Danio rerio: one gene and its partner. The protein of the gene in region 1 interacts with the protein of each later gene in a pairwise test. Links are inferred from orthologs where the notes say so. Each region holds a gene or a part of one and is shown on either strand. Other genes may lie near its edges.

Region 1 (4,386 bases):
GGTCTAATAAATCAAGGGGGCTAATAATTCTGACTTCAACTGTACATTATGTATAATGGTAGTGTTCAGTGACAAGATCCATTTAGAAATAATTCTGTAATGCCAAACATTATACACTTCAGAAATCAATGCCATACAGCTTTATTAACTTATTTAAATAAGTTAAAGTAACAAAATATTGTTGACTTTTGTCATATCATTTTTACATTGTGTATAATAAACTGAAATCGAATAATATAATAAGCAATCTTCAAACAATATATACTATTAATACAAATAAGTTAATTATGCAAATGTATATTTTTACATAATTAAAATGTATTAAAATCAATTAATAAAAAAGTATTTCTTAAAAATGTAATAATACAGTTTACATATAACGCCATTTATATTAATAGGTTTAGAAAATGCTTAAATAAACTGAATAAATTACTTCCACTATTCATAATAACATTTATATTTATAAATAGAAACTAATATTTACCGAAATATAAAATACAGGCCTAATATATATATATATATATATATATATATATATATATATATATATATATATATATATATATATATATATATATATATATATATATATATATATTCATAATATCCATCTCATGTGGTGCATATAGTACTGAAGTCATTTTGGGATACTGTATTCTTATTTTATATTGTATGTTAAAACAAATTAAAACAATATTTTAAAGCCCTTTTTATTTATTTATTTTTTTATTGCAATTTTAGAACACAGAACATACAAAGGGAATAAAAACATTATGTTTACATAAAAATAAATACAACATAAAACAAAAATAAAAAAATACAATTATTCAAAGACAGCATTTAAGGCTTTAAGATAATAATAGTATAATAATAACAGTTCTTTTTGTTTGGTATTTTTTGTTTCTTTTATTGTCCTTGTCCTATTTCTATTTTTAAGTGAGTAAAATTAGGTTTTTCCACTGCACATGTACATTTATGAATAAAAATATTTCCATATATAATTAGCAAATTACAAAACACCACATTATAAAGTAGACAGTATTCTCATATAAAGAATAAATAATCTTTTTCTTTGAATTGAAAAGCAATATTCATAACGTTTACCAAAAAAAAAAAAAAGATAACACCAAAACAACTGTGTATAAATACAACCATAACATAAATGAGCAATACTCTCTTCTTTATCATCACAGAAAGCGCATTATAAATCTACATTTCATTTTAAAGCCCTTTTAAACCCCTCTTTCTGTCTTTCTGAACATCCAATCAACGCTAAGAAAACCTTCTAGATGCCGCCTCCCAAATGCGTCACGATCTCTCAGCGATCATATGACAACACCACAACAAAAATGTCTGCCTGCATCTCAGTCCAGTAAATGTTTGATCGTTTTAGGAATACAATAAAAGTCTGCATACATGCAAAACCTCCTGCATCAGACTGCGACGCTTTAGAAACAAACAAAGTCAGACGAAAACTAGTCAGAAAGCGAATATTTTAGCACGTAAGCGATTACACTCGTCTGTATCGGTTTATTATTAGCATAACTCAATAAATCTCGTGCTTTGCTCTCGAAAAAGTTCAAATGGAGCCCACAGCTTCGGGAATATTCTGTAACAGGATGCTCAGTATGGTGAACTCTGAGGATGTGAACGCCATCATTCAAGCCCAGAGACATATGTGAGTATCCCTGTCTAGTGAAATTGAGGTAAAATTCGGATTATATTCACACATCCAGACTTTCTCCTTAACAGTATAACTTCAGAAAAGTGTCGTTTTCAAATTCTTAACAGTGGAATCATATTAGCAGCCAATGACTATCAAAATGCAACATTGTTCACAGTCAAATAAATAGTGCTAATGTTGTTTTCAAGTCACACCAAAGTCCCTGTAAGGCATATTGTATTCTATGTATTCTATAGTCTTTGTGATTTCATATAATTCATTTTCTTGTCGGCTTAGTCCCTTTATTAATCCGGGGTCACCATAGCGGAATGAACCGCCAACTTATCCAGCAAGTTTTTACGCAGCGGATGCCCTTCCAGCCACAACCCATCTTTGGGAAACATCCACACACACATTTACACACTCGTACACTACGGACAATTTAGCCTACCCTATTCACCTGTACCGCATGTCTTTGGACTGTGGGGGAAACCGGAGCATCCGGAGGAAACCCACACGAAGGCAGGGAGAACATACAAACTCCACACAGAAATGCCAACTGAGCCGAGGTTCGAACCAGCGACCCAGAGACCTTCTTGCTGTGAGGCAACAGCACTACCTATTGCACCACTGCCTCGCCCTGATTTCGATTATTCAAATTACCACGGTAAACATAAGGAAATTGAGGTAAAGTTGGTTTTATATTTGAACATTCTTTCAGTGATCACTTGTGATATGGTCCCTATATTGTTTACCATGGTACTGGTAAAACATTGGGTCTGAAATCCTGTGTAAGAATGACTTCAAAACAACATAACCACTATTTATTTGACTATAAACAACCTAGTCTGATGCTCATTGACTGCTAATATGTTTCCACTATTTAGTATTCGCAAAGAGTAAGTTTCTGAAATTATATTATTAAAGAGAAAGTCTGAATGTGTGAATATAAAACCAACTTCACCTCAAAATATAGGAAGAATGTCACAAGTTGAATTTAAAACCAACTTTAACGTACCTAAATTCTAGTAAAGTACCTAAAAAGGAAGCTGTTTAAAACCTGTTTTGATGCATGTCCTACAGGCTGGACCGCTTTGAGAAAACCAATGAGATGCTGATCAACTTCAACGGCTTGTCCAATGTGCGCTTACAGCAGATGAATGAACACTTTCTGATGCACACCAGGACTTTGATAGAGATGAAGAAAGACTTGGACAGCATCTTCAGAAGAATAAGGTGTTATGTTTGCAAATTAAGATTGAATTGAGTGATGTTTAGCAATGAGTGTGTTACCATATTTTACTATTTTGTCATTTAAAATGCCATTAAAGTAACTTTTCACAAATTAAACTCAACAAATTAGTTGAGTAATATTACATTGTAAGTCAGTACATTATTTAAGTGTAAATAGAAAATGTACTCTAGTTTTCACCTGTGTATAGGGGAGAGCGGGGCACAAAGTAACACTTTTTGGTTTTGGCCAAATAATGAACAAAGTAATGGAGTTAGACAAACCATCTGAATTCATACGGTCAAGGAAAACCTGGAAAAGTCGTAGTATTTTGACATGCCTTTTTCAAGGCTTGGGAAAGTTTGGGAAAAAGAGAAAAACCCACAAAGTTTTGGAAAAATCATGGAAAACAGAAATCTTTATACTTGAATATAGGTTATTTACTGCTTTTCTGTCCTTTGCCAGTCACATTCTCACAATATTAGTGTGATGTAAGCATTATCTGAATCAATTTTACATAGATGTAAATATAAATTAAAACTTAATAGGTTGTTGCTTGTTTTACGATATGCTGTAATCAATTTGAACCTGCATTGTTTTTCTTTTACCATGCATATGTAGACATTGCATGAAACATTAAGGTCATAAAAATTTACTTAAAAGTTTTGGAAAAATCATGCAAAAGTCATGGAATTTTAGTAGTAAAAATGTGTCTGAACCCTGAACCATTTATTTTTACCAACAACACACAAGCCTCTCCTACCAATGAGCAATGGTTGTATGATTTTCAGACCTATGGTTTCTGTGTATTATTGCCAAAAGTGCAGGGAGTAAAAATGTTACTATTTACCCCACATGTGGGGCAAGTTGTAACAGACAGAGGGTTAGTTGTAACACATGCTTATAAAGTCAGCTCTCACACAATTTATTTAAAATCAGTTTATTTAAATAGTAGCTATATTTCCTCAGTACATTGCTCAGTTTATTTTTATTCAACATAGCACAATATGTTTATTTATTTATCTGTTGGATAAAGACATTTGGATTTATTTCATTATTGTACATTATTATACAATGCACTTATTTGCAGTATTAGCTATAAAATAAATTTTTTTCTATTAAAAAATATTTTCTTTTATAAAACATTTTGTATAAAAAGTTCTGAACATTACACTCAAAAAAAAAAAAATATATATATATTATCAGTCACAGTTTTTTTTTTTACATCTTTCAAAATGGTTCCATCTTTCAGCCTAGAAGAAGGTAATCACAGCAATATAAGATTTTACTTGCATACTTACACAGATTTTTTTTTTAAATAAAAAATACCAACTAAAAAAAAAAAAAAAAAACTTTTATGCTGCAAAAACGGTTTCTCCTGTATTTCTCATTAAAATTTCCCTGAAAGTTTTCAATAATTGGCAGGAAGACATTTGCCGACCGACACTGTGGTGAAAACTTCGGAAGCATGGCATGGTTAACCCTGCGCAAA
Region 2 (4,355 bases), on another chromosome or scaffold:
TATAGGTGAACTGGGTAGGCTAAATTGTCCGTAGTGTATGTGTGTGAATGGGAGTTTCTCAGTGATGGGGTGCAGCTGGATGGGCATCCGTTGCGTAAAACAAATGCTGGATAAGTTGGCGGTTCATTCCGCAGTGGCATCCCCAGATTAACTATATATAATATAAGGCGAGGTAGTGGCGCAGTAGGTAGTGCTGTCGTCTCACAGCAAGAAGGTCGCTGGGTCGCGGGTTTGAACCTCGGCTCAATTGGCGTTTCTGTGTGGAGTTTGCATGTTCTCCCTGCCTTCGTGTGGGTTTCCTCCGGGTGCTCCGGTTTCCCCCACAGTCCAAAGACATGAGGTACAGGTGAATTGGGTAGGTTAAATTGTCTGAAGCGTATGAGTGTGTGTGTGTGTGTGTGTGTGTGTGGATGTTTCCCAGAGATGGGTTGCGGCTGGAAGGGCATCAGCTGCGTAAAAACTTGCTGGATAAGTTGGCGGTTCATTCCGCTGTGTCGACCCCGGATTAATACAGGGACTAAGCCGACAAGAAAATGAATAAATAAATGAATAATATATTATAATAAAATATAATATAGCCTAAACCCTTTTTGGATGATGAATATAATTTTGGAGTATGACGATTGCAGTTGTCAAATAATTTAAAAACTCTTTAATCCGTGTTAGGACTGCATTGTCTCCTTAATAACCTAAAGTTGTTATTGTTTTGTTTTTGTTTTTTTTACACCAAACTGGCTGCTTGCTTCTGTGGTGAATAAACTCCACTCCCCACAACACCCTGCTTCGAAACAGAAACTATGTGCAGTGCAGCTCATTTTCGCGAATCGATTCTTTCAAACACCACTCAATGAACAATTCAGGGATGATTTTTGTTTATGTCATCACGTGACCAAATGACATCTCTTTGTGGCATAAAATAGGCTTAGAAAATCAATACTGCAATAGTTAACCTTTTTTTTTTACTATCAAACGTGTTTATTTTAATTCACATTGACCTAGTTAGTTAGTGGCTCACAAGCATTGGACATATCCTGAAACTTTTTTGACTTTTGTGTTGACAATTCCCACAGAACCATATAGCCAGTAAAGTACATTAATAACTTACCTTTCACTCCATTTTGGTCACTTAAAATGATACTCTTGTGTCATTACGAAATAAAATGGCCAGAAAAGACGATGTTCTTGAATGATTTTCCAAACAATTGGTGAGTTGTTGTGTCGAGAAGCACAGTCACTGATTCAATCTCGTTCGTAAACGAATCGTTCGAATTCAAGTGATTCTTTAAAATGATTCGACTCATAAGAACGACTCGCTCGCGAATCAACCATGCAACAACAGACGAGAGCGAAGTGAAAGGCAGTGGATTCCTCTCATTCTGCCACTAAAAGAGAGACACACAGAGAGAGAGACGGGCGCATTTTCACACGTAAATGGAGGCTTGGCCACCGGGCGCCATCAAACAGCCCTAAACCTGCAAACATGGTGAAGGACCAAGAAGTGGAGCGCATCGCCAAGAAGCTGGACAAAATGGTGCACAAAAAAAACACCGTAAGTGACACACATTTTTTTCTGTAGCATCTGATAATAATAAAACAGGCAGGAGAACATTGTTTATTCGACGTTCGTTCGTTCATGTTTGTATCCGTTAAACCAGCAGGAGACTAGTTGGTGTGTGTGTGATTATCACCTGTTTCATCCTATTCCAGACTACCGCCCGGTGTGCTCTTATTGGTCAGTCTCCATTGACAATCACTCGTTCGTTTTGTACTCTCATGTTTGAAGCGTTTGTGTGCTGTGATGAGCTGGCAGCTGGTTGTTCTCCAAATTTCTCCAGCGCAAACAAAAGACTCATTTATCTAGTACTTCACACAAGTCAGCCCCAGTTTCGTCCCCAAAACATAGTATCTGCCTGTGTTTTTGTGTAAACCAAGCTATAGTTGAAGAAGCTAGTGTTTACTGACGCATTTAAGAAGTTGTTGTAGTGACTGTTTACCAATTTTGTTTGTTTCTCACCTCCTTGTGTTTTTATGTTCAGGATGGTGCCATTGACTTGCTTCAGGAGCTGAAGAACATGAAAATGTCTTTGGAGACCCTACAGGTATCTACATAGACTGCAGAAGGCATCTCTGGAACGAGTGTGTGCTGTGCTAGATTATATAATCAACTCTTTTTCTTTCTGTCAGGGAATCCCATGCTAGTGTTCTCATTGGCATACTGTTAGTACTGTTGGAATTTCAGCAGAAAATATCTGAATAAATTACTATGAGCCAATCCCGAATATAGGAGAGGACGTTGAAATCTCAATCAAATTCTCACAATCCAGTCATGAAAATGTAATCAACTCTATAGACGAATTCAATGTTGTCATGTCATTGGCCCAGTGAACATTTTCTGCTTGTTATCAAACTATTTCATTACTGTAACAACAGCAGTGGTGTAAAATAACAAATTACAAATACTCCGATTACTAAAACTGAGTAGTTTTTTTTTCTCAGGAATTGTAATTTACGAAGTAGTTTTAAAAATGTGTACTTCCCCTAGAGTACATTTTTACAGCAGTATCTGTACTTTTACTCCACTACTTTCCTTCAACCTGCAGTCACTATTTGTTTTTTTCTTGTGTACGGGGATTGGCTTAGTAAAAAATCTATCCAGCGATTCCTGTCCAAATCAAATCGCACAGAGAAAACTCAATTGCATCATATTGAACAACCTCAATACATGGATGCTTTATACATGCAGCAAACCATTGTAAAAGTATTGCAATTGTCCAAGAAGATGTCAAAAATCTTTACACGCAATGAGCCAGAGGCTTTTTAAACTATGTCACTGATAAGAAGATGAAGGGTGTTTACTGTATGATGAAATTGTCAAATGGACTTAAACAATCACTAAATGCACTACAGAATGTTACGTTTACACACACACACACAAATTGCATGTACACGCATCAGCTTTTCACAGAGTAATACTCAATTCTCACTATTGAGTACTTTTATCATTGTGTGGCTCTCTTTAGATTCTCGAAAGCTTTAGAAATTATAAAATGTAAAACAGAAAAATACGCTGGGACCATTGTTTTTGTTTGCATGTCTCAAAATGATCTATAATGTCATGGCGTTTGACAATTTTTCGGATGAGTACGTAAAAAATAGCAATTCACACCTAATGAACCCTGCTGACTGATCTCAGAAGTGCTAATTTCTTTTTCTTTCTTTCTTTCTTTCTTTCTTTCTTTCTTTTAAATGGCAGAAACTATAAATCTAGAAGACCACAAATGCATTCAAGACCATTTTTTTGCTTGAATTTGATAAAAAGCACACAACAGAGCAACTTTCATGAATTAAACTACGATGTGCTTTCAATTCCAGTTTGTTCGTTGAATTTAATTTAGTATCATTCGTGTTTATTTTTTGATTTATGATTTAATCATATTGCCAATGTTACAAAATGCCAAAATGATGCACAAAAGGCACAGTTTATTTACTTCAATTTTATTTAGTTATTTATTTCACCCTACATTACTAAATTGCATAAACAGTCAGTGTTTTTTACTTTGGTTTAGGTAATTTAAGCAAATGAATGTGAGAAATAACTGAAAACATAAATATAATGCATTATCTCCACTGTCTTGCTTGGTTGGGACTTGTGGAGCTGCGCATCGATGGATTTGCTCTTCAGTGTTTGAACTTTCAGTAGTGAAAATTTATCCACACTAAACTGAACTTCAACTTTGACATCTGGACTCATACAAATTCTATTTTCTAGAACTTTGTTAAGGGGCTTTAACACAATCTACTTCGTAAAAAGTGCTATAGAAATAAACCTGAATTGAATTTTATAAGCATTTAATTTTATAATATTTACTAATTTCAGTTAGAGTTCGTTTTAGATGATGAGCAAAATATTTTCTGTTTAATATTTTATTTATTTATTTTTTTTTATTGTAATACCCCTGAGATGGATTTAGTCAATATGGATGGAGGTAATGTGCAGACAAACAGCCCTTATTGGTCCCTGAGGAGAAATTAAAGCACAACAGATCATCAGTGTTCAGAAGGAAATACCCCAGAGCTCTGGCTTTGTCTTTCGATATCAGTGATTAAAACAGTATTTTAACAAGACAATATGATATTTTAATATTAGCTGTTTTAAAGCAGAAGCCTGATCAGTTAGTCAGAGTATGATATTTAGATATTAGGTGCTGGTTATTTTTGTAAATCATATATAATGAGCTGCAGTTTATCAGAACAGTGCAATATTCCATGGTTTGTAACGTGATCTTCTCACTGTAGTCAACTAGGATCGGGATGTCAGTAAATGCGGTGCGGAAGCAGAGCTCAGATGAAGAGGT

What was found.
Region 2: the proteins of kxd1 (region 1) and tcea2 interact in binary tests that used the Homo sapiens proteins (3 or more experiments, as listed by UniProt). The two-hybrid records come from large-scale screens. The link is inferred for Danio rerio from reciprocal best matches to the Homo sapiens genes KXD1 and TCEA2.

Annotation. Positions count from the first base shown.
Region 1 is NC_133200.1:21,951,870-21,956,255, forward strand, and holds the start of kxd1 (kxDL motif-containing protein 1), read left to right. Parts: upstream 1-1,327; 5' UTR 1,328-1,583; coding exon of another isoform or gene 1,584-1,678; 5' UTR 1,679-2,330; intron 2,331-2,746; coding exon of another isoform or gene 2,747-2,774; coding exon 2,775-2,899; intron 2,900-4,386.
Region 2 is NC_133198.1:8,860,601-8,864,955, reverse strand, and holds the start of tcea2 (transcription elongation factor A protein 2), read left to right. Parts: upstream 1-1,299; 5' UTR 1,300-1,480; coding exon 1,481-1,549; intron 1,550-2,036; coding exon 2,037-2,099; intron 2,100-4,296; coding exon 4,297-4,355. UniProt on the Homo sapiens protein: Necessary for efficient RNA polymerase II transcription elongation past template-encoded arresting sites.